Linked DNA regions of Caenorhabditis elegans. The protein of the gene in region 2 interacts with the protein of the main gene of each other region in a pairwise test. Each region holds a gene or a part of one and is shown on either strand. Other genes may lie near its edges.

Region 1 (6,498 bases), on a different chromosome or scaffold from region 2:
AGAAATGTATCCAAACCAAAGAGTAACTATTAAGCAACATTTTAATATGATAAAATTTAGAAAAATTCTACAAGTTTTCCTTACCGAGACCTTAAAACTTATTCGCCGAGCAACATCGGATATCGGATATTACGGATATTACGGATATCGGATAATGGACTTGCATATCGTTTATACAGAAAACTTGTAGAATTTTTCTAGGTTTTATCATATTAAAATGTTGCTTAATAGTTACTCTTTGGTTCGGATACATTTCTTCCTGAATAACTACATCAATACTTATTGATAAATTCATTATTAGAAAATATCCGCTCACCTCTGCTTTAAAACTCTTCTCACAAATAGTCCACTTTAATTATTCTATTTCAGACTAATTAATTTAATAGAGGTTTAGTGCTCTTAATCTGTGCTCTTTTTTTTGTTGATATTCTTGCAAAATTTCACTTATATAATACTTCAAACCACAAAAAAAAACAATGCAACTCACTCTTCACTCTCAATAGTCTGTTGCTTGGCAACAAAATTCCTCGGCACATAACCAGTCTGTCCGGTTCGTTGGTGTCGAACATACCACCAATCACAATTCGAATGATCCAATAGGTACATAGCATCGCCTTTTTGAAAGCTAAGATCCCCGTCGGCACGTGAATCGTATGGATAGAGGGCGACCAGAGTCTCACGTTCCTGTGCTCCTCCTCCACCACCACCACCACGTCCATTTCCCATCATTCCGTCTGATGTTCCGTTTAGTTGAGAGATGGTTCCCTCGTTTCCACCGTTATTCACGTGGAATACTGTCTGTTGTTGGGGCGTTTGGAATCTGCGTGGATATCTTTTTGGGTAATGGGGGAAGTGTACGGAAAAAAAATGGAAAAATAATTAAAGGTGGAGTAGCCACTGCAACTTTTTCCTCACGAGGGACGAGGAAAAGTGGTTTCTAGGCCATGGCCGAGGGGCCGACAAGTTTCAGCGGCCATTTATCTTGCTTTGTTTTCCGCCTGTTTTCTTTCGTTTTTCATCGATTTTTTTCGTTTTTTCTTAATAAAACTGATAAATAAATATTTTTTGCAGATGCTAAAACAATTTCCAAGTAAAAAAAATCATGTATTCAGTGGGCAAGCAGCGGTGAAAGTGGTCGATGTAATATGATGGATTACGGGAATACAAAACCTAAACGTTTTCTGAAACATGATACATATGCTGCTTAAATGCTGAGACTACCTGATTTTCATAACGAGACCGCTGAAAAAGTTTAGAGATTTTTAAAATTCAACATTTTGTGCGAAAATCTCTACTTTTTCACCAAAAACAATTGAATTTTGAAAACCTCAAAACTTTTTCAGCGGTCTCGTTATGAAAATCAGGTAATTTAAGCATCTAAGCATCATATGTATCATGTTTCAGAAAAAGTTTAGGTTTTGTATTCCCGTAATCCATCATATTACATCGACTACTTTCACCGCTGCTTGCCCACTGAATACATGATTTTTTTACTTGGAAATTGTTTTAGCATCTGCAAAAAATATTTATTTATCAGTTTTATTAAGAAAAAACGAAAAAAATCGATGAAAAACGAAAGAAAATAGGCGGAAAACAAAGCAAGATAAATGGCCGCTGAAACTTGTCGGCCCCTCGGCCATGGCCTAGAAACCACTTTTCCTTGTCTCTCGTGAGGAAAAAGTTGCAGTGATGGGGTCACAATGTCCGAATACCATGATAAAAAAATTCAAAAAAATTTTATATGATTTTTTGAAAATTAAAAAATGGTAAAAAAAAGATTTTTGCCTAATAATTCCTATTTGAATTTTGAATTACCCCCAATTGGATTTGTTCGGTGGAGCGCCGCGCTTGCACATTTTTTATTTTTATTCATTGTTTTTTTTTTTATATTTTCCACCGATTTTCCATGTTTTCAGTGTATTTTTGTCTGAAATTTGAAGAAAAAGTCGAAATAAATGCTAATTTTTGATTAAAAAGCTACTTCACAAGCGTAAATCTTTGAAATTAATTAATTCAGGTTTCGAAATCGTCGTTTAAATGCTTTTTAATCGAACATTTGCATTTATTTTGACTTTTTCTTCAAATTTCAGACAAAAATACACTGAAAACATTGAAAATCGGTGGAAAATATAAAAAAATAACAATAAATAAAAATAAAAGCGTGCAAGCGCGCTCCACCGAACAAATCTAGGCAAAACAAAAAATTAGGCAAAACTGAGATTTTTTCAATTTTCAAAAAATCATATAAAATTTAGAAATTTTTTTTTGAATTTTTTAACCATGATATTCGGTCATTGTGGTATCATAGGCATGTTTAAAAGCAATTTCCCCACTGGCGCTACTCCACCTTTAAAAAAAATATAATACGCGAATTGACGCGTTGTTAGTGCATTTTTAGGTGGGCAAACAATCAAATTTTTTTTATAGAAAAGGAAGTACATATATGAACATTCTCATGTGCATTAAAATTGAAATATTGAATGTTTAAAATTATTTAGTGCTCACTTTTTCCGAAAAAAAATATATATAAATAGAATAATCTCAGAAGAAAAACTATGGCATCATTTTTGCCCAAATAGATGTCTTTAAATGTTTTTAAAAAAAAAGATATATATATATATATATATATATAATTTTTTAAAGACATCGTTGGCATCTAATTGGGCAAAAATGATGCCATAGTTTTTCTTCTGAGATTATTCTATTTATATATTTTTTTTTTCGGAAAAAGTGAGCACTAAATAATTTTAAACATTCAATATTTCAATTTTAATGCACATGTTCATCTTAATACTATTTTCATTTTTAGGCTTAGAAAACAACATTGGCCTAAAAATAGCCTAAAAATAAAGCAAACTTTCTATAAAAAAAGACGGGACAGAGAAAATGATACATTTTTAAATTCTATACATTTTTTCCAAAAAAATACACTCGAAATTGTAAAAGAGTTCAGTCTCGATTAAAAAATTCCAGAAAAAAAAATTTCTAATAAAAACATTTACTACAGTAGGGATCTCGTTTTTTTTTTCAAAATTCTTTGGAACTCAGTAATGTCAAATTGCCGGAATTTGTTGGGATCGGGCACTTACTTGCTGAGAAAATGCCGAAAATCTAACAACTGTTGATCACTGCCGAATTATCGAAATGTGAAACGGGCAAATTTTCGGAATTGAAAAGTTCCGGCAAAACGGGGGATTTCCGCTCACCACCATGTAAATGCATAAAATATCATGCTTTATGTAGATTTAGAATAGCTAAATTTCCTATTTTAATTGAAAAGTCAATAATTTATGATTTTTTATCGAAAAATCAATGATTTCTAATTTTTAACTAAAAATCAATAATTTCAAATTTTTACCAAAAATTAAACCAAACCGGAAAATCGGTTTTTTTTCAAATCTGTATTTAATTTTTGCACTTTTTATCTAAAAAAAAAGTTGATTGTCTCCAAAAAAATAATACATTTCTCTATAAAATAGTTACCTGGAGACATCTATCCGTTCGGAAACACCCATATCACTGCCTCCCGATCGCCGCTCTTTTGAAAACAGGCAACCCATTATTTATTCTGAAAAAAAATTATTTCAGGAAAATGTTACTGGGGTTGCCTCGTTCGTTCGGCAAATCAGCAAATTGCCGGTTTGCCGGAAATTTTCATTTTCGGCAATTTGCCGGTTTGTCGAAAAATTGTTTGTGAATTTTTTCGTTTTTTTTTTTTAAATTTTTTTAACTGAAAAATCTCTGTCAATTTAATTTTTTTTTGACATTTCCACAACTGGAAAACTGCAAAAAAAGACTGTACAAGCAGAATTTTCAAACAAATTTCAAAAAATTTGTTAATTTTAATATATATTAAAATTTACAATTTGCAAATATCACGTGGTGCCAGCCTGTCCCATCACGGTTTGATCTACAAAAAATGCGGCAATTTTTTGCCCAAAAAATGTGACGTCAGGACGGTCTTAACCATACAAAATCAGATGAGAAGTCAGCGTCCCGTTTTCCCGCATTTTTTGTAGATCAACGTAGATCAAGCCGAAATGTGACACTCTGACACCATGTGAAATACTTGAATCGTCGCGAAATTCAAAAATTGTCAGGTTTTGTAATTTTCAGTGAAAATTTTCTGAATTTTCCAAAAAAACTCACACAAGACACCAGTATTTTTGTGCAAACAACAATTATTGAGCATGCATATGGAATGGTTGCTTCTTCTTCTTATTTTCGAGGTTTTTTTTCTGAAAATGAGGAAATTTTGGCGGGAATTTGATTTTAAAAAAACGAGATTTTAGAGGAAAAAGTGAAAATGGAGGGGTAGTAAATATGTTTTAAATAAACTCTGACGCTTGGAATTTATTCAGAAAAAACGCGAAAATTATCAATTTTTTGAAGAAATTTACAATATTTTCCCAACAGAATCAGTATTTTTGTATTTAAAGGTGGTGTAGTTGAATTTTTTTTTAAATTTCTTTAATATACTCAAAATTGTCTGAAAACATCGAATTTCATAATGAAACTTCTTGAAAACTTCTCCAAATACCGTATTTCCTCTATTAGTTTTGCACCCCCTCAATTTGTTCCCTATGTTTAGGAATTCAAAATTTGCATAATAAAATCGTTCTAAAAATTAGGAAAACTCTTACAGACTTGGTATGACAAGTCAAAATTGACAAAATATGAGTACAATTCGGACAATTTTTGCGTATCAGTCGTAAAATTCGTAAATTTTCGATCATAAGTTGTTATTGAAATTGATCATAACTTAATGGAAAACATGAGAAAAAACCTGTTCGAAAATTAGTTTTGCATCAAATTAGGTGTCCGAAAATTAGTTTTGCATGCCTTACTAATAGAGGAAATACGGTAAAAGTTATGGCGGCTCAAAAAATGGCCTAAGATAAGTTAAATTTTGAAATTTGACCGACTTGTCAAGCGGCTGGAAATTAACTTTTTTGAATTCACCGTCAAATTTTGAGTATACAATGTAATTATCCTGCGTTTTCAACTTCATTTAGGTATTATAAAGTCGATGGACGGCGAAATTTGGATAAAAAATTTAAAAAAATGTCGGCCATTTTTTGAGCCGCCATAACTTTTACCGTATTTCCTCTATTAGTAAGGCATGCAAAACTAATTTTCGGACACCTAATTTGATGCAAAACTAATTTTCGAACAGGTTTTTTCTCATGTTTTCCATTAAGTTATGATCAATTTCAATAACAACTTATGATCGAAAATTTACGAATTTTACGACTGATACGCAAAAATTGTCCGAATTGTACTCATATTTTGTCAATTTTGACTTGTCATACCAAGTCTGTAAGAGTTTTCCTAATTTTTAGAACGATTTTATAATGCAAATGTTGAATTCCTAAACATAGGGAACAAATTGAGGGGGTGCAAAACTAATTTTCGATTAGTGATTTTAGATGCAAAACTAATGGAGGTGCCTAACTAATAGAGGAAATACGGTATTTGGAGAAGTTTTCAAGAAGTTTCACTATGAAATTCGGTGTTTTCAGACAATTTTGAGGCTAGCAAAGAAATTTTCAAAAAAATTCGACTGCACCTCCTTTAAAAAAACTATTTTTTCTGATTCGGATCAAAATCGATATTTTTCGGTTTTTTTTTGTTAATTTTTCTATTTAAAATCCACTTTTTTTTTCCGATTTTCTTTTTAAAAAACACGAAAATCTGAAAATTGTGACAAATTTTTGTAAAAATCTTTAAAACAAATTTAATTTCTAAGAAAAAATTGTGTGAGTCACACAAAGATAATTTTGTTTTTTGAAAAAAAAAATGATAGTGTTAAACGGGAGGGCGAAATAGTGTAAATGACAAGAGGATTAGAGAAGAAAAAGTGGAAAAAAATGTGTGTAAGAGTTGAGGAGAAGGGAGAAATGGAATGTGAGAAAATGGAAGGTTTCCGTTTTTTTTTTCTCGTTTGAAAAGTTCATGAGAAAACGGATAGATTTTCCAGAAAAATGGGAATTTTGCCGTTTGAGAACTTCAGGAAATTGCCGATTTGCCGAAATTGCCGGAAATTTTCAATTCCGGCAGTTTACCGGATTTTTCTGAAGGGATTGTCTTCCGGCAATTTGCCGATTTGCCGGAAGATTTCAATTTCGGCAATTTGTCGATTTTCCGGAAATTTTCAATTCCGGCAATTTGCCGATTTGCCGGAAATTTCCAATTTCGGCAATTTGTCGATTTGCCGGAAATTTTCAATTCCGGCAATTTGCCGATTTGCCGGAAATTTTCAATTCCGGCAATTTGCCGATTTGCCGGAAATTTTCAATTCCGACAATTTGCCGATTTGCCGCCGACCCCCGGCTACAAATACTGGAAAGTGCCGAAGTGGAATAGAATATGGCAAATTCCAAAAAAAACTTGAAACAACGCAGAAAACGGAAATTTTGGATTTATCGGAGCTCCGCGGAGCTCTCACTTCAGAGTAATAACCGAAATAATGCTGGCAATTTGAAACACCCACGTTGT
Region 2 (8,317 bases):
TTGCGCCGTATTTTTATGAAAAAAATGAAGATGGTACTACGGACATTTACTATCCATCTTTTGTGACAATTTTTGCAACAACTGTGACTGTGGTGAGTTGGCAGATTTACGCAAGAATTTTACGAAAGTAAATACTTAAAAAAAAATGATCCGTAATTTTCAATTCTTGTCGTTTTTCTTTTTTGGTTTTTTCCTGAGTTTCAGATTATTAGGCTTAGACTTAGGCTTGGTTTAGGCTTAGTCTTAGGCTTATGCTTTTGCTTTGGCGAAGGCTTAGTCTTCAGTTTTGGTTTAGGCCTTGCTTAGGCTTACGCTTAGGCCTATGCTTAGGCGTAGGTTTAGGCTTATGCGTACGCCTAAGCTTAGGTTTAGGCTTAGGCTTAGCTCAAAACTCAAGACCAACCAGTATGACTCCAAACATAAAGATTAACAAGAATTGAAAAATTTTGAGTTTTAAAATTTCCTGTAATGACATTTTGAATTTAAATAAATATTCTTGGAGTATTTTCAATATTATTAACCGGGTTAACCGGATTATTAACCGGATCAATATTATTAATCGGAATTTTTTTTAAATAAATCTTCTAAATCTTCTTTCAGATAATTTCCGTGTCTGTCATTTTTTATTTCGGTTTTAAATGCTACACATCCCTTCAGAAATTCAAAGAAATCGAATCGTCGAAACACATTCAAAATCTGCAAAATCAATTGTTCTATTCATTGGTGGCTCAAACACTAATTCCATTATTTCTGGTGCATACTCCAGCATTTGCTTTATACACATTTTCATTTCTTCGAATAAATATCGGCTCCTTAACTGGAATTACCACAATAACAACTGCCATTTTTCCTGCACTTGATCCTCTTCCAACACTAATTATTGTAAGAAGCTATCGAAATGCAATTCGAGAATCGATTTCTTCCATATTCAATTCATTCACTACAATTTTCAAAAAGTCACATGGAAATTCGATTTTACCGGTGCAGGCTCGCACGGGAACTGTTTGAAATTTTCCATGTTGTCACGTGCATGTTCAATAAATGCTGAAAACTTTTATGATGAAAACATTATTAGCGAACATACAAAACATTATCTTGCAATCCTTAACAAGTTGAAATATATCAGATGCAAGTAGAAATGAGGCTTACAGAAAAAAGATGTAACGAAAATCGAAATGATAAGTGTAAAGCGTGTAGAGAAAAAAATGATCCGCAAAGAGTTTTAGAAGATACCAAGTATATAAGAAGAAAGAGGAGAGAGAGAGCATCTAGCATCTAAACCGTAGAGAATTCATGACGGTGAATAAAAGGGGAAAGAATGAATGGGGGAAATGTGCTTTAGAACAATAGGTGAAAATTATGGACAAAAATCAGAATAAAAGCATGGATGAGGTGATTAGACGAAATGAGAAGATTATTATTTATAGACGAGTTTGGCTACGAGTTGTTGGAGCAGACGACGAAGGCATTCCATTAGAGGAAGACGATGCAGCAGAAGTACCACGACGCCTAAAAATCGATAATTAAGAAAGTCAATATCGCCAATTTCAATCTCAACTCACTTTGGCGCACGATGAACAGGATCGACTGGTTCAGTTTCCATTTGTTCTGGTTCTTCAGTCTTCGGTTTTCTATCAACCCTTCTTCTTTTGTTTCCAGGTGGTGGAGTCGGAGAATGTGGTGGGCGATTTGATGGACCGGCGGCTCCAGAAGACGTGGATGGTTCATCAGTCGGATTGTTTGAATTCCTGGCAAGCCTGCGAGCAGAGCGTCTTGTTTCAACTTCCGAAATGTGCGCCGCATCTCGTGGGCGCTGGACGCGACGACGAACAACTGAGTTACGAACATGAACTTCTTCTTCCTCGTCGTCCTCTTCCTCGTAAGGCAGATCACCGTCGTCTTCCTCCTCGTTCTCGGCTTCGTGATCCAGTAAATTACGCTCCCGAACATCTTGCTCTAGAGCATCCTGATCCGCTGCTTCTTGGAATTCTATCGCCGCTCTGTGGAGCACCGGCTCAAATTCCTCGTCTTCTATCGCATCGACTTGCTCGCGCATATCATCAAACTCCACAAAATTGTTAATCTGCGGTGGAACATCATCGAATTGTTCTTGTTCTTCAACGTTATTCTCCAGAATTCCATTATTATGGTCCACATTACCATCAACATCTGGCTCTAAAACCACGGGAACTTCTTCGAAATGAATGACATTATTGATATCTCCGGCACGATAATTCTCAACGACTTGTCCATTAACAACAACTTGCTGATCGACTTCCGGTTGTTCTTCCTCCACTTCCTCAACTATCGGTTCCGGATGAAAATTGATTCCAAAATCGCCGGCGCCTCGTTGAGCAACTTGTATCTCTTCCCAATCGGCACCTAAAATAATTTTTTTTGTTTGCGAGAGAACCTTGAAATCATACTCGTTTATGTTTCGACACCACAATAAGAATCAACAATATATTACAATACCAGTATAGTCAAAAATTAGTATTATTAGTAGATCAAAAAATAATTGCATGCTACTCACGAGGAATGTCAGCGGGTGCTGCTGGATCGACAGCATTTTGTACCATTTGATCCTCCGCCACGATTTCATCAGCCAACTGTTGGAATTGTCGATCGTTCATCGCTTGTAGATCAATTTGTTGCAGTTGCTGCTGCTGCTGGATTGGCGGTCTGAACGGTTGCGCACGTGGTTGCGGCTGTTGTTGCTGCTGCACTTGAAGCTGCTGATGATACTGCTGCATCTGCTGTTGATGATTCTGTATACGTTGTGGTGGTGGTGGCGGTGGTCCCTGTTGGAATTGCTGCCCTTCGTTGGGATGACGTTGCTGCTGCTGTTGCTGTGGATGAGCTGGCATTTGCGGTGGCATCGGAACATTGGCATTGTTGTGCATATGCTGTTGGAATGCGATTTGCATGTTTCCATGCATTATATTGTTCATGTTCGGTTGCTGCATTCGTTGATGCTGACGCTGCATCTGATCTTCCACCTGATGCATCGGATGATGTTGCTGATGCATATACATCATACGCGGTGGACCTTGTTGCATTTGATGATGCATCGGTGGAGGATGGCCCATAATGTACTGTCCCGGGCGCCCACCAACTTGAGCCATCATTGGTTGATTCATCCGTTGTGGTTGTGGACCTCCCCAGAGCCGTTGGGCCTGCATATGTTGTGGTGGAGGCATCGCGGGTGGAGGCATCACAAGTTGATGTGGTGGTGGTGGTGGGAGAAATGGAAGATCCTGCTGCTGCTGGACTCCTCGCGCCTGACGATTTCGATTACGAGCCACTTGTGCGAAATGATTGAGCGCGCCTCGTAAATTTCTGGCATTCTGTGGAATAGGTCTGCCTGCTGCGGGAGCTGCGACCTCGTTCACTCGTTCGGCTCCTCCCTCCGAGGCAGGAATCTGATTCACTGAACCAGTAGGCTCGTCGATTTGGAATCCCATTTCTTGCTTGAGTTTCTGAAAATAAAATCCTGAGTGTGGAGAAACGTTTAAAAAAAAAATAAAAATTTGTTTTTTTTTACTTTCTTTCGTGTTCCAGTTGAGCGAAAAAAAAATTGTGGAACAAGATTGTTGTAGATTTTTGTATATTTTTTTAATCAACAAACCTCAAAAGGATCCCAATAGGAATTGAACGCCGATTCGATAGCCGTAAGCATCACATCAACACGTCCACCAGCTTCCGAGTAGACTTTTGAAATTTTTTCCGCCTTTTTCACTTCCTCCATCAGCTCGTCCATTGTCGAATTCTCCTTGATCTTCGAATCGAATGTGCTGAGCATGAACTCGAAGATTTTGATGAGCGAGGTGAGCTTCTGAAATTTTTTTTTTTTTTTTTCTATGAACTCTGAAACTCACATCTAAAGCTTTTGCTTCTATAGTTCCACCAACAGATTGCAGTCTTGGCTTCAAATTTTCAAGCGATTGAAATGCAGCATGTGATGCATCACTGATCTTTTGCTTCATCTCTCGAACATCATCCGACGTCAGCGCCTTCTTCTCAACCAGCTGATGTCCATTGTGCAATCGGATCGCGCATGTCGAACAGATCTTTCGGCCAGTCTCCTCACACTGTGAACAATCGAAATAGACACCCTGACTGAGAACAGCTTCACACTGATTGCACAGCTTGACCAGATGGCGATCCTTGAAGAGTGGAGCAACTTTTTGCACAATTTCCTGAACTCGATAGTTGACAGGTAGGCCATCCGCCGGCACCAGCGTCGGCTTTCTACACTCTGGACACTTGATCTCTGTGGCGCGAGCTTCTGGTCCACGTCTCGGTAGGACTACAATTCCACGCACCATATTCGGATCGTTTGGGTTCATTCGTGGATCTAGACGGGGAAGATCTATGAAATGTGGTTGATCTTCCTGATCGGCAAACCCGCCAAGGCCTCCGAAGCCTGGACCTATATCGTCGGGATGTAGAAGTGGGCCACGTGGGCGGCCGAGTTCTTCTGCCATGTTGGTTTTCACTTGATCTACCTGTAATTTTAAGTTTCATTGGAGATGGAAGAAGTTAAAAATATGAAAATTTGCTAGAAAATAGCAAATTTATTTTGTAAAATAAGGTTGCCACGCGTTTTCTAGAGGTCACTTCAGGTAAATTACCAATTTTATCACGTTTTTTATCAAAAAATAGTTCAACATATAGAAAATCAGTTGATTTATCTGAAAATATCATTTTTCCACATAAAATCTCAAAGAAAGTGCTCAAAATTGGCGAATTCCTCAATGTTTCAGCTGAAATAAATGTTACTTCCCGATAAACCAAGTGATTTTCTATATTTTGGCATTAATTTTCATAGGAAAACGTTTAATAATTGCAGAAAATTGTGAAAACTTTCAGAAAAACATAAAAATCGTTTTTTTTTTCTCAAATTTCAAGAAGAAATTGAACTTTTAAGTGGAAAATCAGTAAAAATATATGAATTTTAGCTCCAAGCGTCTCAAAATCACTGAAAATGTCAGAACAATGACATTTTTTAAGTCGAATTTCGAGAAAAAGCGTGGTTTTAACTTCAAAAACGCTTTAATGACATGAAAATGCCTGAAAATGTGATTTGTATCTCAGAAATTACCTTTTTCTGTTAAAAAAAAAGCAAAAAACTGAGAATTTTGTTTAAAAAAACGGCAGAAAATATAACTTTCCCTTCAAATTTTGACCATTTCGACCTGAAAAAGCTCAAAATTATCAATCAACCTACCAATCTTCCAATACACGTTGAGCATAGCGTGTGTCCGCATCCCATCTGCATCGGTTTATCATAAATGTTGTAGCAAATCGGGCATTCGACGACGTGAGCCCATTGTTGCTGAAAATTCAAAAATTATATTGATTTTAATCATTTTTATTTTCACACAAACTTACATAATTACTGGTACCACTTGTGCCCGGAATGTCCATTATTGCTTTTTATTTATACAAAAATATATTCAAATATTCCAATAAAAATGTGAATAATCGGTTTTGAACCCGATTTGCCCGTCAGGCGGAATCCAAATTACCCTGAAAAAAAATGAGAAAAATCAATAATGTTTGAAAAACGAACGGGGAGAACGCTGTGGGGCGTAGTTGCAAAGAATCAAAAAGTGAGAGAGGAAAACGCACAGAGAGAGACACAGACAAAACAAGCACTTTGCGATGAAAAGGGGCTTTTTGGGTGGATGAGGATGAGGGTGCACGAGAGATGGCGTGTTTATGATTGAGAAAATTGCTGTCTAAATCAATAAAGACTGGAGGAAATTTGTTTTGTGAGTGAGTGATCTCTTTTGATGTTTTCGCTGTGAAAAATACGAAAAGACTAAAAAATTTCGAAATGCTATTTACGAAATAAGAAGAATCTCGCGCTGCAAGAAAAAAAAAAGTTTGTTTTTGTGATATTACGAAAAAAAGACTGAAAAATGTCATTTTCTGGGCAAACACACGAGAAAATATTGTAAAATAATTTTTTTAAGTTGTATTCAGGCATTTTATTGATGAAAATTGATGATTCATCGGCGGAAAAGTGGAAAAAATCGGAGAAAAAGAAAAATAAAAAATGTTTATTAATCAACCGTAGTTTGATCATGGCGAGACCCAAATTATAAATTGGGTCATGCGCCTTTAAAATGTACGGTAGGGTTTTGCGATTTTTTTTTTGAGTTTTGTGTTAAAAATCGTATTCTATTTTCAAACTGAATTCAAATTATTGAATAAATGAATTTAAAACATACTTCCAAAATTTTTTTTTGTAAAAACTATGATTCATTGACGAAAGTTGGAGAAAAATAGATCAATTTCGGCTTAATCATCAACCGTAGTTCAGATCGTGGCGAGAACCAAATTCAACAATGGTCCATGCGCCTTTAGAAATACAGTAGTTTTTGGCAATTTTTTGAAAAATTGCGAGATTGAATGAATAAAAACCCAGAAAAATAAGAGAGCCGACGAAAATTAAAGTGAGAAAAGAGTGGAAAGAAGAAGAAGAGTCGGGTCATATATTCATCAAATTGTGCGTGCATGAATCAAGTGAAAAGACAACGCGTCTATTCCTCGCTTCGATTGTTTCAGGGGGGACCACGATAATAGGATAATAGGTCTCGCAGTTGGAAAGAAAGAAATGGTGACGAAAAACGAAGACGGAAAATCGATGAGAATGGTTGTCTGTCATATGTGTATGTGTGTGTGTGTGTGCACCGGGATAATCTCCACCACTTCTCTATTGGTTTACACCGAGACGGGGGGAAGAAAACGAACCTTCCCGTCCGGCAGACACATCCCACGGGGCGGCAGCAGCCACCGAGGGTCATGATTATTTTTCATTGAGCTCTCCGCGCGCGAGCCGTGGTGGCTCGGATTAAAGCAACCACCACACAGCTGCTCGACAGAGAGCATGACTTCCTTAAAGACAAAAGGTGTTCGGTAATTGCGAAGAATACATAACAGCAGTTGGACCAAGACACCGGAGGGAATGGAATGCAAATTGAAGTGCTGGTGGAGGCTCAATTTAGATGATTTTATGGCGAGAGGAGAGAGGTTGCAGGCGTCGAAGAAGAGGCAACTAGAGAAAAGGATGGAAATTTAATAAAAACGTTGTGAAGTGAGAAGAAGAAGAAGACCGATGATGACAGACGAACGAATACCTCGGCACCGTCGCTCTGATGTTTGACAAAAACATCTGTGTGCTTAGAGACGCAGAATAGGTCAAATCATAATATTGATTCTTATCGTCGTCTTTTACGTTGTTGAGAGAGAGAGAGCATGTTTCTAATTCCGCTAGGAAAACATTTCAGTTGACAACAATACTGATGCAATGTTATTATTTTGTGATCACATTGATTACACATCAATAACACAATTGCGTAATAGCTTTTAAAAAGGAAAATAACAAAGAGAGTGGCATTGTGCAACAATACAGAGTGTATGTGTCTGGAGACTTGTGTGGTGAGGATGGGGGTACAAAAATTTCCATTCCACTCGTCTTTCTAATACCCTCTAGGGGTCTCTTTTGACAAAATGCATTGAAAATGATAAGACATATGCGATTTGTGTGTCAAAACATAATATTGAATGGGATTATTTCTTGGTTGAATATTGAACAAAAAAACGATGATGACTATTGCATCAGAGAAGAACTGAGTGGAAATTTTTTTGATAGTCTATCACATGTGATTTCAGATAGGGAATGATAAGACAATTCCACACCTGAAAGGAATAGGGAATTGAGGTCAGAGTTCAATTAAGTGATTGGGAAAAACTGCAGAGGTTTCAGCCCTTGAAAAGTTGAAAAATGACGTGAAAATATATTTGAATCAATAATTTGCAACGGGATTTAACTTCATGCGACATTTGCGACAGACAGCTCCGGGAAATTCAGATTTTTCATCAGATATCTCCCAGGACCATTTCTAATTATAGACATCGTCACCACCACCACAACGACGTTACAAACAATTAAAATAGGTTGAAGGTCGGTACAGGCCACCTTACCGATCATCGTCACTCTCGCTTGAAGGAATTAGTAGTGAAATAGGGCTGGTTCTGATTGTTGTGACTAAGAATGACGAGTACGAAGTGAAAATGAAAATGTTATTTCGTTTTGCGATTAATTTATAAATAGAAGGATTATATAGAGAAGGTGGGAGGTGGAGTAGAGTGGGAAAAATAGTTGGAAACCTAAACCTAGTGACCATGAAAAATTAGGAAATCAGATGTTTAAATAGAGGAAAAAATTGAGAACTCTGAGGAAGAAATTCTCGAGTTCTGTTCTTCATCACAGCCGGTGGTGTACACACTATAACAAAAACTGTAA
Region 3 (9,459 bases), about 16 Mb from region 2:
TTTTATTTTTAGGTGCATTTTGCATACTTTCATAGAACCCTTCTAAATAAGCCCCAAAAGTTTTAGCGGCAGAGGAGCACTTTGAACTGGATAAAAGTCGATCTGAAATTGCTATCAGTGCATTTTTTAACTACTTTAGAGGCCCGTAAAATTGCTCCAAATGATAATTTTGAAAATCTTCATTCAAGTATTCTAGACGCTTTTTGGAAGTTTTTTTTTTTAATAATCTGAAAAATTCCAATAATCGAAACAGTCCAAAAAATAATAATCGAAACAGTCCAAAAAAAATTTCCGATTGTTAGCCGGCTCCTTAAAGACCAATAATTCATTGAAAGTGTGCAAAAATTTACACCTGAAACATTTTTTCGGGCCTCAAACGTTTTGAAATTTTCACTGAAAAATTTTCAGAGCGACTTTTTTGCAGCGCAGAGTGATCCTCTGCCGCTAAAATTTTTGCAGGGGCCTATTTAGAAGGTCTTCTTTCAAATGACATAAATTTTATTCAGAATTCCGGGATTAAGTTGAAATACTTTCCTTGATAATAAAAACCAATACTATCAAATTCGTTAGTACTTTTTTAAATCTTACTATTATGACCGAGTAGAACCAGACTCCAATTTTTACTAAATTGAAATTTATTGTTAACTTCTAAAACATTCAAAATAATCATGAGACCGTAGAAAATAAATGATGTGTTTTAAACAAGGAAAACAAACGAAAAAAATTAGTAGGGGGTCAACAAAACATCGTTAGTTATACCATCAGACATACCTGTAAAGAGTATTCTGGTATACTCCGTTGGTGTAGTCAATTCCTGGATAACTGCTCGTTGTGTTGTAGAGTGTGTTGTTCAGGAAATTCTGGGATTGTGGGAGAATTGTGGCAAAATCCGAACTGTAGAGGTAAGGAGACGCGTATTGACCATTGAGTGTCATCTGAAAAAATTCAAAATGGGAGCTTGAAATATTGTATTCACTGGCTAGATTTTATCTTACCTGTGCTTGCGTGGTTCCTAGTGTGCCAACACTTGAGATCACTGAAGTAGGTTGACTGTGATTAACAGCCGACGGCGTTCCCGATGGGTCAATTAGGCCAAGATTGGCAGCAGCTGCAGTTGCATCTTGCACAGCTTTCAGCTCTTCCTTGATCTCCTTCTTTGTAGAAATTTGAGGGATCAGAGAATAAGCACCAAGTGATGATGTGGTCGTGATGGATGTTGGATCCTCTTCTTTGATTTCCATTTTTGGAATGTGTTGTTGTTGATGCAATTGTTGGGAGTTGGCATTTCTCTTCTTTCTCGATGGCTCACGTTCCTTGACCTTGAATCTCTTCTGCCTACGGAGGTAGCATCCATTCTCAAACATATTCCCACAGTGCTCGTGAAGAGTCCAGAAGGATCCCTTTCCAGGCTTGTCAGGGGACCTGAAAATTATAAACTTAGTCTTTGTAAATCGTTTCCGGAAAACATCCATATAGATTTTTTGTCAAATCTTTTCACTAACGCGCACCCTCACTCTCTCCGGTAATTTCTCATTTCAACAGCTTCACGCATCAATGGGTGTCCCTTGGGCGCACGGTATAATAAATGTGGCGCTGCAGAAAAGGTAGTCCTTGAGATAAACTATATAGGTTCCGATTATAATAGGAAATGATGGTTTTTGTGGGAAAACAATAAGAAGTTTTTTATCGGGACAAAACGTGTCCAGAAAAAACTTTAATTTTCAAGACTCTTACCTGGCAACCTTTACAAAGCAATCATTGAAGGAGAGGGAGTGGCGAATTGAGTTTTGCCATCTTTGTTGATTGTTCTGATAGTAAGGGAACAAATCCATGATCCAATTGTAGATTTCAGACAATGTCAATTGTCTAGAATTAGACTTTTGAATTGCCATAGTAATTAAGCTAATGTAAGAGTATGGAGGTTTCGATTGTCCATAAGTTCCATGTCTTCTGATCTTTTCCGTGACAGTTTCAAATTCCTGAATCGTGAGTTCTTGGCCTTGCCCTCCGCTTACACCAGAATAAGACCTATCGGCTGGCGATGCAGCAACCGTCGAGCTTGATCGTCCATTGCTTCTTCCGATGACCGCTGAGGCGGACGACGTGGCCACGGAAGCGGCCGCTGTGGTGGCTCCGGTGGTGCCAGTGGTAAAACCTGAATGAGATCAAATTACAAATTGTGTATAGAGAGCGCCACTCAAGGTAGGTATGAATGAATAATGGATACTCATTTTGTGCTTGGGAAATATTTAGAGCTTTCAGAGTGAAGAGTATCTCACAATAATTTATTTAATCAGGATTGTCTATAGATATAAATTCATGCATTGTCTTAACCGTATTAAAAATAATTATATGCTATACTGTTTTTATGTATGTGAGAGTTAGTATTTAGACAATTAGGGATATTTTAAAACTTACCAAGAGGTGAAATTCCTCCTCCTTGCATGAAATTGGCTGGGCTGATGTAGTTCGATCCGAGCTGATTAGCAGTGGCATACTGGCTGTAGTTGTTGTAGTTCAGAAGTCCATTGGCAGCAGTCTGGTACTGAAAGTAGAATGGATGTTATTAGACTTATTAGTGAGAACAGGGTCAAACTTTTTACCTGATATGGTTGGTAGTTTAACGTAGTATTAGAATACGTCGGCAGATAGTCCTGAGCGTTCATGGCCTGCAAGAAAAAAATTGAAAGTTTGCTTTGAGGTCTGGGATTATGTAAATATTTAAAGATAAATACAAAATGTGTGTGTGTGTGTGTGTTTATAACAAATAACAAATATTTAGAAAATTCGGAAGCCCCACACGTGGAGCTAGACATGGAAATGAACAAATAAGTCCCGTTTGACCTCTGAACCTGAGCCTTGGAAATTCCTTAAAAAGATGATGCTCAAAGGTAAGTAGAACGCCCCGTACTGAAGAAGAGAGGTGAAGGAGAGGCTAGGCACTAGAGCAGCGGGACTCCGCCTACCTTGCCCTCCTATGCGCGTGCGCACCGCCTATCGCTTAGCCACAGTAACCCCGTCGCGGACTCCGCCCATTTCGGATTTTTACCTTGTTTTAGATTTCAACTGACTCATGGCTGAAAATAGTATAGGTGTTTCACTAATTGTAATCTCCACGTGGTGCTTTTTTAAGAATTCTAATTTTGGTTGTGTGTGTGTTTGTGGACGGTGGGGGGGGGGGGGGGGGGGGGGGGGGGGGTTCCTCGTCGTCGTCGGATAAATAAATAGAAATTGAATAAATATTTGGCTTCTTGGGCAACACGACGCCCAGCCCCTTCTTCTTTTGGTAGGAGGACCTCACAATTTCTATTTTCTTCTGGACACCATCACTTTGCTACTTTTTAGCTACTTTTCTAAAAAATTTTACAAAAAAAAAACTAACTGCTACAATTTTAAATCGAATTTTTATTAAATGAGGAGTACCGAAATCTGAGACTTTGCTTTTTTAACCCAAAATGACGCAAAACTACCGAATTTCATAATGAGACGTTTTAAAAATTTCTCAAAAAAAAGCTATGGCGGTTCAAAGTTCTAGAAAAAATTTGCCCATTTTCAGCTAAAATCAAATTTTTTTTGCCAACTTCTTGGTGTCACAGCGTCTTGAACATAATCCCTATTTGGTTATCACTCTTTAATTTTTGGTTGATTTTAATGTTGAGCCGTATTGGACCTCAAAATATTTCGCAATTCTAAATTTTGGTGATATACTCAGAATCTGGGATTGAATTTCAAAGAAATATTTTCGATTTAAAAAATTGATTAACGAATTGAAATTTTAAAACTTATTGCAGAAACTAACAAGTTAAACAGAAGAATAAAAAAACTAAATGACTCACAGTGCATTTACCTACTCAAAAAATTAATCATCAAAAAGATACGCCAGACGGTTATACAACTAGCCATATGGTTTTTTATTCTGATAAGCTTGGGTTAAAAATGACGATTATTATTATTACTTTATTTTTGACACCCTACCAAATTTGCCGCACCATACCTACCGTATAGTCTACACTTGAAGCAGCCGACGACGTGGCAGGCACCTGATTTCCCGTGTCGGAGGTCCCAGAAGTGGTTCCATTTGGCAACATTTTATGTTTCTGCTCGCGTTTTCGATTCTTCTCGGTTTCCAATAACTTTTTATTTTCCTGTTCCACAGAATCTTCTGAATCCGTTGAATTCGTGGTTGTGGCTGGCTCGGCTTCAGAGTCAGGTTCCGACTCTGGCTCCTCTTTGATGACCTTCAAACAAAATAGTTTAATTTTTTTCATTGTTAAAAAGTTCTCAAATTTTTCATTGAATTTTCCAAAATATCTCTTTTCCACTTGACCCAATTTTGTGTCCTAGCCTAGCACGTACTAGGATACTAAGAATGAGGTGGTGTGGTATAGAATTACATACAAGTGGGATAGAGGAGGGAGGAGGATTCAGATGTGAAGAAATTGAAAATATGTCCGGGGGCAATTTCGGCGAAAGCTTAAGGGTTGATGAGAGGAAAAGCGGCAAGGAAATCTCTTAAAAATGCAATATATAGCACCAAATGATACAAACGGCAATTTCAAGAGCTGAAGAACGATGACGAAATGAGAGTGGGTTGGAAATAGGTTCGGGATGCGAGGGTTTTACTACGTGGCGGCGAAGTTGAAAAAAAAAACTATCGCTATTTTTTTAAAAACATGTGAATGTTTCAACAAAATCTACAAGAGAAATCTTAATTTTTTTTCTTTTCTTAGACCACCTTATCAATACCGCTATGGGTCCTCTCACATTTTTATTAAAACTTTTATTATTGATTGAAAAGAGGCGTGGTATCAATCAGGGGTGGGCGGCAAACAATTTTTCCGGCAAATCGGCAAATTGCCGGAATTGAAAATTTCCGGCAAAGTGTTTCGGTCTTACGAAAAAATCCCTCTAAACATTTCCGGCAAATCTGATATCCGGCACCGGCAGTTTGCCGATTCGCCTTTTTTTAAAAACTATTTCCTTTTACTATTGCCGCCGTTTTTAGTCCGATTTTGAATGGTTCTTTCAAGCAAATTTTGAATGAATATTTCTGGGTCCAGATGTTCGCCCTAACAGTCGTTTTTTCCAGCTGTGATTCAAAATCGTAAAAAAACTTGAGACGACTATCATCCATCTGCCGCCTATTTTTTAGCACCTGTTATTATTGAGCATTAACTGCGCTGACTCATTATCTTATACACTTCTCCAAAATAATCAATAATCGTAAAATAGAGTAGAAAGCAGTGTAGGCGGAAGAAGAGGTTTCTTATCAATACTCACTCGATATGATTTCATTATTTCAAAATAGGTGTAGGTATATTAGAATCAAAAAGTGTGGGACGTTTTTAGGAAAAAGAAAATTCATGTCTATAAGAATAGTAATTGTAAAGTGAGAAAAACATTTTCCATGGTAAATCCAAACTTTTGAACCCCATTTCGTCATATTTTGTTCTAAAAAAATTAGGTTCGTCTTGAAGCTTATCACATATTTATCACTGAAACCGTGTGAAACGAACATGGCAAATAAAAGAAACAACAATTGGCAAACAAAAACTGATATCACATACACACTGCGAAATTGTCAAATATTTGCATGGGAAGGAGGAGCGAGAGAGTAGAAAAGAGCACAAAATATACGTCTAGGAGGCTCCCATTTTTGGGTGGAAGCTTTCGGAGCCACTGGTGGTGGTGCCCCTTCGGTGAATATCGCATTTCATCCATCGAAACAAAAAATATTTGGATGGCCCGAGTTTTGTTTTTGGAGCATTTTTTTCGGGAGCTCTTATTATCGAAATATGAAAACTTTTAATTTTCCACAGTGTTTCAAAACATGTTCAAATTGTTCCATAGAAATTTTTTCTAGCAAAACGAAGAAAAAACTTTGTGCGTGGACCGTGAGAATCAAATTTTCATTGTATCTCTCCGAAAAGAGAATCGATAAAAAAATCTTAAAAGAAAGTTTTAACAATTTCACTTTTTGAGCCTTGCATATTTTAAGAGTTCATGACTAACATTCAAATTCCAAAAAAGCTATTGAACTTAGAAAAAATGTATTTAATGTCATTAAAAAAGTTTGTAGTGATGTTTGAAGAAAATATGGTAAGCTGAACAATAACCTAAACTATTTCTGACAAATCACAGATGTTCATGATATTCTCAAAATGTGCATCTTCCCAGAATACCAATGGAGCAATAATAGGTGGCAACCTAGCATCCTGGCCGGGTCATATTGACATCGAGTATCCCCTGTTAATGAGCACTTATGTGCTATTATACACAGAAGGTGCTCATTTTCAGATTGTTTCAGAAGAGAAATAGAAAGGTAGCTGCAGAAATAGATTAAACATGTGTGGCAAAGATGGTTGTAAGTTTTTAATTTCGAAAAAAGTGAGCATACAGCCGGGAGCTAACAAAAACGTTTTCAGAGGCCCCGAACAATTTTAAAAAAAAACGATGCATGAAGCAGAAAATAACTGGTGCCTTACCCTTATATCAATAATGTCCTCATCACTGGATGGCGATGTCATTGTATCTCAAATTAGATAGTCCTTCAAAAAATACGCAGTGGACAGATAGGGTGTATAAGGTAATATTGGCTGGGGTTGGGTGATTTTGTTAGGTCTCTTGATACGACTCTTCGTTATCAACACTGTGACAGTGTGATGGTGATGATGGTGGTGTAGAAGGGGGCTGTATGGGAATGAGTAGAAGGGAATGGACATAGAGACGCAGTAACACGAGAGAAAAAGAGCACTGATTGATAAGAGAGTTTGACACGGACACCTGGAGACAGCGATCGTCACTCTCTGCTTCTCTACTTCTGCAAGCCTCCTTTTTGGGTTGTGGAGGGAGAGAGAGAGACTGAGTGATCGGAGACCGAGAGCGGGCGCGGTGCCCTTTTGAGTCATTTTGTACAGGCGTAGGGTGGTGGAGAGGGGAGATGGTGTTTCTTTGAAAAGCCGTCTGAGCAAGGGTGTTTAGTGACCCAGAATCGTATAGTGGTGTAGAAATGGAAAGTTTAACATTGAACTCCAAAAACTATCATTAAGCTCACAATCAGCTAATCTCAACTCTTCCTAATCATGTTTTAATATCTCATTTGAAAAAATGAAACCGTCCAATCTCCCCCACGACAATAGGAAAAATAAATTTCTCACCCTCAACTGCCATTCTTCTTCTTCTTGCCTTTTTCATCAACACAATTTTGTGACTGGTACAGATACATAAGAGGACGGACGCCGCGCGCGCGACATTTAGATACGTTATGGGAGCAAGATAAGGCTAGTTGTGTAGCAGTTAATAGCAGTTAAGAATTAGGTAGTATTAACAAAGGGCAATTTAAAAAGATATCACAAAAAAGTATAATATATTTTTTGTTTCAGTCATTCATACAATGTCCATTGGTCCGTTGGTGTGTAAGACTAAGAGACTACAAGTTTTATTGAAGGCACAGTACTAACTTTTGAATTTTTGAAAACCTTGAGAAAAAGAATCAAGCTTTGACAAAAAATTTGCTTGATGCTGTTTTAGGCACGAAAATTAAAATTTTCACAATTTTCAAAATTTCAAATCGTTCCGATTTATTTTTTTTAATTAATAGATACGGTACATCTGGTAACAAGTCTGTGCGAGACTATTAAAGTGTTCAATACTGGTATAATAATTACTGTAAATCAAAAAAAAGCAATAAGAAAGTTAAATCAATGAGACGCTAATACTCCCAAAAATAACTTGGAACAGGTGAATCATTTCAACGATTCACAAAAAACAGAGTTCAAGTTCCGTCTCATTGATTTTTCATTGCATACCACACCCAAGCATCCGAAACTAGTATTAGGTTCAGGAATGACTAATCTCCCAATGGATAGTTACTGTATCAAAAGAGACGTTCACAGCATTGCCCTCTCGTTGCTCCGTCCATCAAGGGCACTGATAATGAGGGTTATCAACATAATAGTTACAAAGACAGGAAAGTGACCAATAAGTTAGATGGTCCATTATCACCTTTTGACAAAAGTTTAATGGTTCCGCTTTCCGCATAGCTCATCGTCGGTAGAATCTTTTGTAACACTATTCTTTAGGCCTTTGCTATCGTTTCTTTGTTAAGGGGAATAGGGATTACCAATCTTTTTTTTTTTTGATTTAAAAATCCAAAAAATTATGATTTTCCCAGATATTAATACAGCCAGCTGTATGATCTTATTCTCAGCACCTCTGTATTCACTTTCAGAGACCTATAGAGACCTATTGTCCGGTTAAGTAGTCGCACCCATGTGCGATTTACAGATATAATGCATGTGAACAACATGAACGCAGTTATGATAGTCCTATTGGCGGGCTAAAAATCTAATCTTTCTTATCAAGGGCCATGGTATAGTTTTTCTGATAAGAAATGACTATAACTTTTATATAAATGCATTAATAAAGTTTTTGGAAATCTTTACATCCAATCATTATTTGTCTTTCCCATTCTACCCAACACTTTAATATCTATTCAGAAACTGTTAATTTTCAGATTTTTTCAATGAAAACTTAATAGATATAGGAAGTATCTGATTTGGAAAATTTGGGATTTAATTTTTCAAGACATTCAAACATTTCGGATTCGAAACAAATAATTTAAAATGAAAAAAAAATTGGTTTATTTTAAGATGAAGTTTTAGAAATTAATTTTTTCAGATGTGACTTTTTTGGACAACTAGAGGCGGGTTTCACTTCACTGGTTGTTTTTTCATCTAAACTATCGATTTCTTCTAAACTTGTCAGTAACAGCTAAAGAAATAAGCTCACAGTCCTGAATTGATCGAAGGAATGGATAAATTCAGAAACAGAGGAGCATTTGCCAGATTAGCTGTTAGCAGAAAAATCGATCCACTTCTGGTGACAACCTATTTGTCTGACCGGGTCAAATGTGCACTGAGTACCCCCTGTTGCTGAGCACTTAGGTGTAATAATACACAAAAGGTGCTCATTTTCAGATTGTTTCAGGTGTAAAAGTGGAAAGTTGAACTTGTCTTACGAGACTAGCCATATGGAAAAGACAATGAAAATGGTGCAATTAAAAAGGGTTTTTTGAGAGAGAGAGAGAGAACATGTTTTTCCCAGGTTGTCTGAATCAGGTTCATATAAATTATTTTTTCTCAAGTCATCAGGACTTAAAATTTGAGGTTGCCATGTAAGAAGTTTTCAATCGTCTAACTCAACTTGTAAGTATTAAGAAACGAAGAGGGTCACCATCTATCTCTTATTCAGGTAGCCCTTTGCCATCAAAGAAAAAAGCCGACAAGTTAGACAAGGGAGGCTACTTGTACTACTTGTAAGAGGTAAACCACGAGAATAAAAATATGAATTAGTACAAAGGGAGAACAAATCGAAAGGAAAGAAAGATAAGGGATATACATATTTGATATTTCAAGCAGAAATTCGAAATTGAAAAAAAAAATTACGATTGAAAGTTTA
Region 4 (6,315 bases), on a different chromosome or scaffold from region 2:
TTCAGAATGTGAGTACAATTCGAAGTGCATCGAATATGAACAAGCATGGGCAACATAGTTTCAAGTTCCTGCTTTTTCAACTACAACTACTATTAAATTCATTTGTAATCAATCAAACAATAAGCGTTTAATAGAGTTGCGTGGATGACAGAATGTGCTCGTCTTGACTAAATGACTGGCTCAATAAGGGTATGAATGACACAAGATAACAGATGGTCGCTGACTTGAGTCAAGACACTTCTGAGAAAAATAACACTTGTGGAGGTTCAATTGTGATTAATTGGTTGAGAAATGAGGGTAAGTAGTAAATTGAGAAATTGAGAAGATGTTGAGAGTAAAAGTCATAAGGTATTGCGACACTGTTTATATTTAGTAATGTGCACCAAAGTAAGTTTGGCGCCTACAATTGAAATACTCTTGGGATCAATCTGAGCAATTAACCATAGCGTAGTTCTTCTATTACTATGGCAGCACTACAAATTTCAAAGACCTTCGCTGTAGCAAAACAACAAACAATAAATTTCCACTTTAAAATTATACGTAAATTATAGAAAAAATTACCTCATTGAAGGCTGTTTGTTTACTATCAAAAGATACAAAATAAGATTCAAAGAAAGCTTGCACCTATAAATATTATTTTGGAAAAATAAATCAAAAAAAGTGCACGCGAAAATTCGAAATACCGGTCACCCATAGTACGAGTAGAGGTAGTTATTACAGTATACCTCTGTGTCCAACAATTTGTTCTTTTATAACCTGTCACGCCGACACAGCTACCCGAGGCGCATCCATAACAATTTTTGTGCGTTAATTAGTAAATGGACCTATATACATCCCCAATCCACAAAATTACAATAATGACAGTCACCTACTCCATTGCGGGAAAAGACTGAAGACACCGGTCACAATAGTTGGTGTCTAATATCAAATGCATATAGCGGAGAAGTAGTAATGTGGTAATGGTAATGAGCGGTTTTGAGTGAATTATGGAAACTAAAAAAGAATAACAGAAGTAAGACCCGAAAAAGGTGAGATGGAAGGTGGGATTTCTAGGGTACATGTACTACATGCTCAGTTACATGTGATACTTTATCACTCGTCTCCGAGTCACTGGCCCATATGATAATCAGGTACCTATTTTCTAATACATTATCTGATACTTCTAGAAGTTCCATTAACGTCAAAGTAAGCATGTACTCTTTTTCAGTTGTCTGCAAGTACTGATTCACTGATTCATAATCTTTTACAAAAGTCTAACTACATAGATGCTTTGGTATTACCAAACAAGAACAACAGAAGGTGAGCTGCCTCAACCTGTGGAGCCCTTAATTAGACCGGAGGTGGTAGCTAATCACAAATTATTGACCCAGAATTGATGCAGCAGCGAGACAACACAAACGACATATGTTTTGTAGTCAAAGTTAATCCGGGCCTGGAGCCGACTGACGAGAACACGTAATTAGCAGCAAGTAAGATAAAGAGGGGAGGACCGTCGAGATGTGGTGATCGGAAGGTAACAAAGAAGGCCTCGGCAGGTAAGAAAGGGTTAAAAAAGCCAATTTGACAAAAGAATAGAACAATGCTGTAGAAATGGACCCAGCTCGGTTTGAGGAGATCAAAATCTTGAGAACGAAAAGGAGAAGGCTCATGACTCAGTATCTCGAACTACATCTGAACTCATAAACTTTTTTGTTTGAAGTTGCTCATAATAGTGGTCTTGGTGATTCAAAGATTGCGGATAAAAATAAAAAGAGAAGTTTTGAATTTTTAAAATTTTTACTGTCGTTTGGAAGTGTCGTAAATTGGATTTTGCTTTTTAGGCTTAAAGATAATTTTTTCTTGCACATCAATTTAAAAACTTTGCGCATGATTCTACTTTTCTAACTCAATAAAAGTAATTCTAGAAAACGTTTTCAATGATTTTTTTTTAATTTTTGAAGTTAGTTCCTCTGTAATCCGCAAATTGAAAATGTTTTTTAAAGGAACAAGACATTAGTGACTACGATAAAAATTGTGAATGTGAATGTTTATTTACAGTGTCTCAACGTGGGCTTCCAAAGTTTCAATACCTTATCTTTATATATTCCCGACAACCTTTTCACTTTTTAAAAATATGTCTTGAACATGTGTGCCATAGCTGAAATGCAAAAGTTATTAGATTTTCCCGTAAGATAAAGTTGCATAATTGGAAGTAGGCATGACGATTTTGGCAACTGAATGACGACGAGAGCGAGGTGAGGACTGTTGTATGGGTGTCAGATTTGTACATCTGATAACATATCTTATAACTCATCGATGGACTGTCATTATCAATTGGCTAAGTGTTTCCGGAATGTCCCCACAGTTGAAAATGCTTTGCCTGTGAGCCAAATCGTTTATCCAAAGGAGCATAATGACAAGTTAAAAAGATCTACTAAAACGAAATTTGATGGAAAGGCTTTCGGGTCAGAGGAGTGGGGCTCCATGTAATTTGGAATAGCACAATTTTCAACTACTCGTTTGACACTGACGAGAGAGAAAAAGAGAGGGGCGCCAAAAAAGTAGTGGTGCCTGATGGCGAACACCTTCAACTATAGGGACAGGGAAACAAGGCGCGGACAAAGACCTCCATCAAACGACGTTTTCGTTATGACATCTTCCAAACAGCGGGTGTGCCGGTTAATGGGTGTCAATTCAAGCCAATTACAAAAACCCCTCTCAGTGATGGTGGTGGCGACAAAAATGTTGAACATGGAGAAAACGGAACGGGTGGGAAAAATGAGTAGACAAATCATCAAAACTTTTAAATTTGATTGAATGCATTGGAATTGCAACACGGGGCAAAATTCGAAAATTGGAGTAGCGATATGTAGATTGCGGGGAGAATTACGATGATTCTGTGTTGGCCATGGAGTCGGCGTCACACACCGGAAATCCAGATACGGTAGATGGCTAATGGAATTTGGAGTCAATGATGGACACATGCGGATGTACATACACAATGAATAACATAAGTGGGAGGAGAAAGCATGGCTCCTGATGTTGGAGTTTTTGTAGAAGCATCGAACAAGATTGAAAACATTTTATGGTAGAGAAAAGAAGTTGTAGCAAAAGTTCAAAAAGATTTTTTAAATCAGAAATGCTCAAGAATTCAGTTCTAAAGTTCAAAATATATTCTGAAACTTTGCCCAGAATTTAGAACCAAACAATTATCTGTGAAAAATTATAGCAGAATGAAAAATTTTTGTGATACAACATGAAAGCTCAAAAAAATTAGGTAACGTAATTTCAGAAAAGTTTGAAGTCATAGGAGACACATGATAGCAGCCCACGACATCAATGTTTCGAGAAGGACTCGGTTTCTATATTTAGCCTAAAGACCAAAGAGTTTTGAAATTATTCAAAATATAACCAGTTCTACATTATTCCTACTTAGTTTGTTATCATTATGACAATATCGATTGTTTCTCTATTATTTATGATTGTCAATGAGGCATCAAAATTTATCTACTCAACAAGAAAGTCTAATGATAATCAGCAGAAAGGCAACAGACTGAAATGAGAAAATATATGCCGACGAAGAAGGGTAGTTCTTACTTCTAGCCCATGCCCACCTCATTAGCACGCCCATCTGAAAGTGCTCGCCATCTTATTGATTTTCTGCTAACTCATTACCCAACAAGAGTTTAACTCACCACGTTCACTTTTGTCAACTCGACCGTCACTATTTGAATACTCGCGGATTTTGGTGTTGTGTAGCGTAAAATTTAGTGTAAGTGTAGATATTGGAAGTGTTAGAATAAGAGATCCTCAGTATCTAACTGTCCAACAAACTTTCGGGGGACAGAACAAAAAAGCGCGAAACTATTTCAACGATATAGTGTGACATAAAAAGAAGACGTCGACGTCTCTCCCTCTCGGTCCACAATTGAAAAGAGCCGCGCCCGGACACGTTTTCTCCGTTGTCTCACCTAGGACACCGCTGACTTTTTGCTTCTATTCTCGGGCCAATCGTCTTCTTTGAAATGGGCGGAGTTTTCATTCATATTCTCTATGGATTATGCGCAGCTTTATTCACAATCTACCTTTTGCAACTTGTGGCAGATGGGCATTGTTTCTCGAATACATTGCCATCAATGTTATGAACATGAATCAATTTCTACTCACGTGGAAACTATTCAGTGGTAGCTCCTTCCCCCTGAACATCTGTCAAACAAGGGATTAGCCATGCCAAACTCGCGGGGTGTAGGCATGCTCTTGCCCGGTGTACAGACCAAGATATTTTGTGATTTCACTGCCAGCACCTGATTCCAATTAGAAGTTTTCACAGACTTTCTGCTCCACCGACCTCATTAGTTTTCTAAGCATGTTTACAGACATTCTGAACCATTGTGATTAACAGAATTTAACAGATCGAACAAAACTACTTGGTTTCTGAAAAGGAGATGCACCACATATCTGATTTAAAAATAAGTTTTAATCAGCTACTGCTTTTATTTTTGATGATTCCTTATACATAAATATTAATGCAACCGCATCGATATTCGGATTCAAGCAGTGTAACTGCAAATTAAACATTTAAAAAACCTCGCTATGAATAATTTTCATAATTTGATACGTGGAAAAAATTTAATGTCACTTTTCTGTAACTGATTTCTTTACTTATTCATTTATATTTTCTGCCCTGCTTGTAGCTGGCTTTACTCCACTTCTCCATTCATTGTCAGTTTCTTCTATTCTTTTCTTCGGACTACGGTATCGCTGCATCCGACAATAAAGTCTTCAGAGACGACAAATAACTAACGGAATATTGAGGGTTCTTCTTGTTGGACCGCCCGCCAGAATTCGAGGGCTCGGAAGTCAAATAGCAAATTATTCCGCTTCAGGTGTCAGTCCTATTTGAGAAAATCTGGCAGGAAACAAGTACTGGGACTGTGAAAAGTAAATAGAAAAATTTTATTGACACACTAAGAATAATTTGCATTTTTTATCGTAGTTTACAAAATTTCCACATTTATCAATCTCGGAGTAAGATTTTTTGTATTAAAAATATATTTTCCAAATTTTAGACGGTTGTCTAAAAATAATTATACTTGGCATTTGGCGTTACCTGCGTTTTTCCCAAAAATTAAAAAAAATATTATTTAAAAACTGTTATTTGGATCAAACTTGGCGTAAACTTAAACACAGTCCAAACCAAGCTTATCGTGTTGTGATTCAAGTTGAAATTTTTTGCCAAACTTGGGCAAGAAGCTAGCGTCAAATGCCGATTACACAACAGACAAATTTACACCAGTACCTTTATCTGGACCAAGTCATATGTGGTACATCACGCCAAAAATGAATACGGCGAAATGTTTTTGGAGATTCTGTACGCATGAGTGAACAGAAGATGTCGTTTTCCCACTTTTTGGATTTTTTTATTTTCAACGACAGCCGCCGCACTTTTTTGGTAACCAAATGGGATTCATGTCCGTATTTGGCGGGAATGATCGCCCTGAATTAATTTTTTAAAGATAAAATGAGAAAAAAAGGTAGTAGAGGATGTCAAAACTATTTTTCTGAATTTTCAAAATTGAATTATTTAATTTTAATCTAATAATCAGTAAATGTAAAACCAAAAAAAAAACTACATACAATAGACAATTTGATTTATTAAAACTCTGTAATAAATATTCTAAAGGTCAAACACCAAAAACTCCAACACAAAGCTCCAAATCTGCTGAAAAGGAACGATTTGAAGTTTTTACTACTAAAACATATAAAAATGTTGAATAATGTTTATAACAGTAGAAACTTTGGTACTTATGGGTTTCGTTCTCCCCAAAATGTTGTAATTTTTTTAATTCCAATTAACCACAAAAACGTGAATTTTAGTTGTTTTATTTGTATGGATTTATTTGTTTCTTTGGTTTTTTTGTAAAAATGAATGCTTTGTTCCGTACTTCATACAAGTAGTATTGGATATGTGCCAAGTATATATCACCAGAATTGGTGCGTCTAAAAAAATGGGAGGGAGAGGAGGTGCTATGCCATCTTCTGCCTGTAAGTAGCATGGGCAAGATGCCAAGTCCATAGAGGCATAGTTGTTACGTCTACAACTTTGCCATCATCTCCAATCTTTATGACGTTTTGGTCAGTAAGCACTTGGATGTGAATTTAGGTAGTGGTATTTGATTGGGAGTTAGTAAGGACATTGTCGCGGGCGTAAGAGTTACACTAAATCAAACACATTGAATGCTCAATCTATTTTAAAAATAAGCAGAAACATTTTGAAATTTGGAATAAATTTTTTAGGTTTTAGAATTTTGTTTAAAAGTGTGATAATGTATTCTG

Evidence for each region.
Region 1: the proteins of tam-1 (region 2) and src-1 interact in a two-hybrid assay, tested with the Caenorhabditis elegans proteins (one large-scale study listed by BioGRID).
Region 3: the proteins of tam-1 (region 2) and pha-4 interact in a two-hybrid assay, tested with the Caenorhabditis elegans proteins (one large-scale study listed by BioGRID).
Region 4: the proteins of tam-1 (region 2) and vab-3 interact in a two-hybrid assay, tested with the Caenorhabditis elegans proteins (one large-scale study listed by BioGRID).

The regions. Positions count from the first base shown.
Region 1 is NC_003279.8:1,564,671-1,571,168, reverse strand, and holds the start of src-1 (Tyrosine protein-kinase src-1), read right to left. Parts: upstream 3,561-6,498; coding exon 3,484-3,560; intron 833-3,483; coding exon 488-832; intron 1-487. UniProt on the Caenorhabditis elegans protein: Non-receptor tyrosine-protein kinase which plays a role in endoderm development by controlling spindle orientation in EMS blastomere, probably downstream of receptor mes-1.
Region 2 is NC_003283.11:4,957,565-4,965,881, forward strand, and holds tam-1 (RING-type domain-containing protein), read right to left. Parts: upstream 5,539-8,317; 5' UTR 5,431-5,538; coding exon 5,395-5,430; intron 5,339-5,394; coding exon 5,227-5,338; intron 4,505-5,226; coding exon 3,879-4,504; intron 3,836-3,878; coding exon 3,629-3,835; intron 3,480-3,628; coding exon 2,534-3,479; intron 2,383-2,533; coding exon 1,563-2,382; intron 1,510-1,562; coding exon 1,422-1,509; 3' UTR 1,039-1,421; downstream 1-1,038. Other genes in the region: str-208 (Serpentine receptor class r-10), read left to right, coding at 1-92, 601-1,008.
Region 3 is NC_003283.11:20,750,120-20,759,578, reverse strand, and holds the start of pha-4 (Defective pharyngeal development protein 4), read right to left. Parts: upstream 6,528-9,459; coding exon 6,486-6,527; intron 4,239-6,485; coding exon 3,999-4,238; intron 3,051-3,998; exon of another isoform or gene 2,842-3,050; intron 2,670-2,841; coding exon 2,604-2,669; intron 2,546-2,603; coding exon 2,419-2,545; intron 2,156-2,418; coding exon 1,735-2,155; intron 1,423-1,734; coding exon 996-1,422; intron 936-995; coding exon 772-935; intron 1-771.
Region 4 is NC_003284.9:10,497,465-10,503,779, reverse strand, and holds the start of vab-3 (Paired box protein 6 homolog), read right to left. Parts: upstream 3,891-6,315; 5' UTR 3,675-3,890; intron 3,543-3,674; exon of another isoform or gene 3,487-3,542; intron 2,693-3,486; exon of another isoform or gene 2,586-2,692; intron 1,651-2,585; exon of another isoform or gene 1,545-1,650; intron 1,210-1,544; exon of another isoform or gene 1,069-1,209; intron 133-1,068; exon of another isoform or gene 14-132; intron 1-13.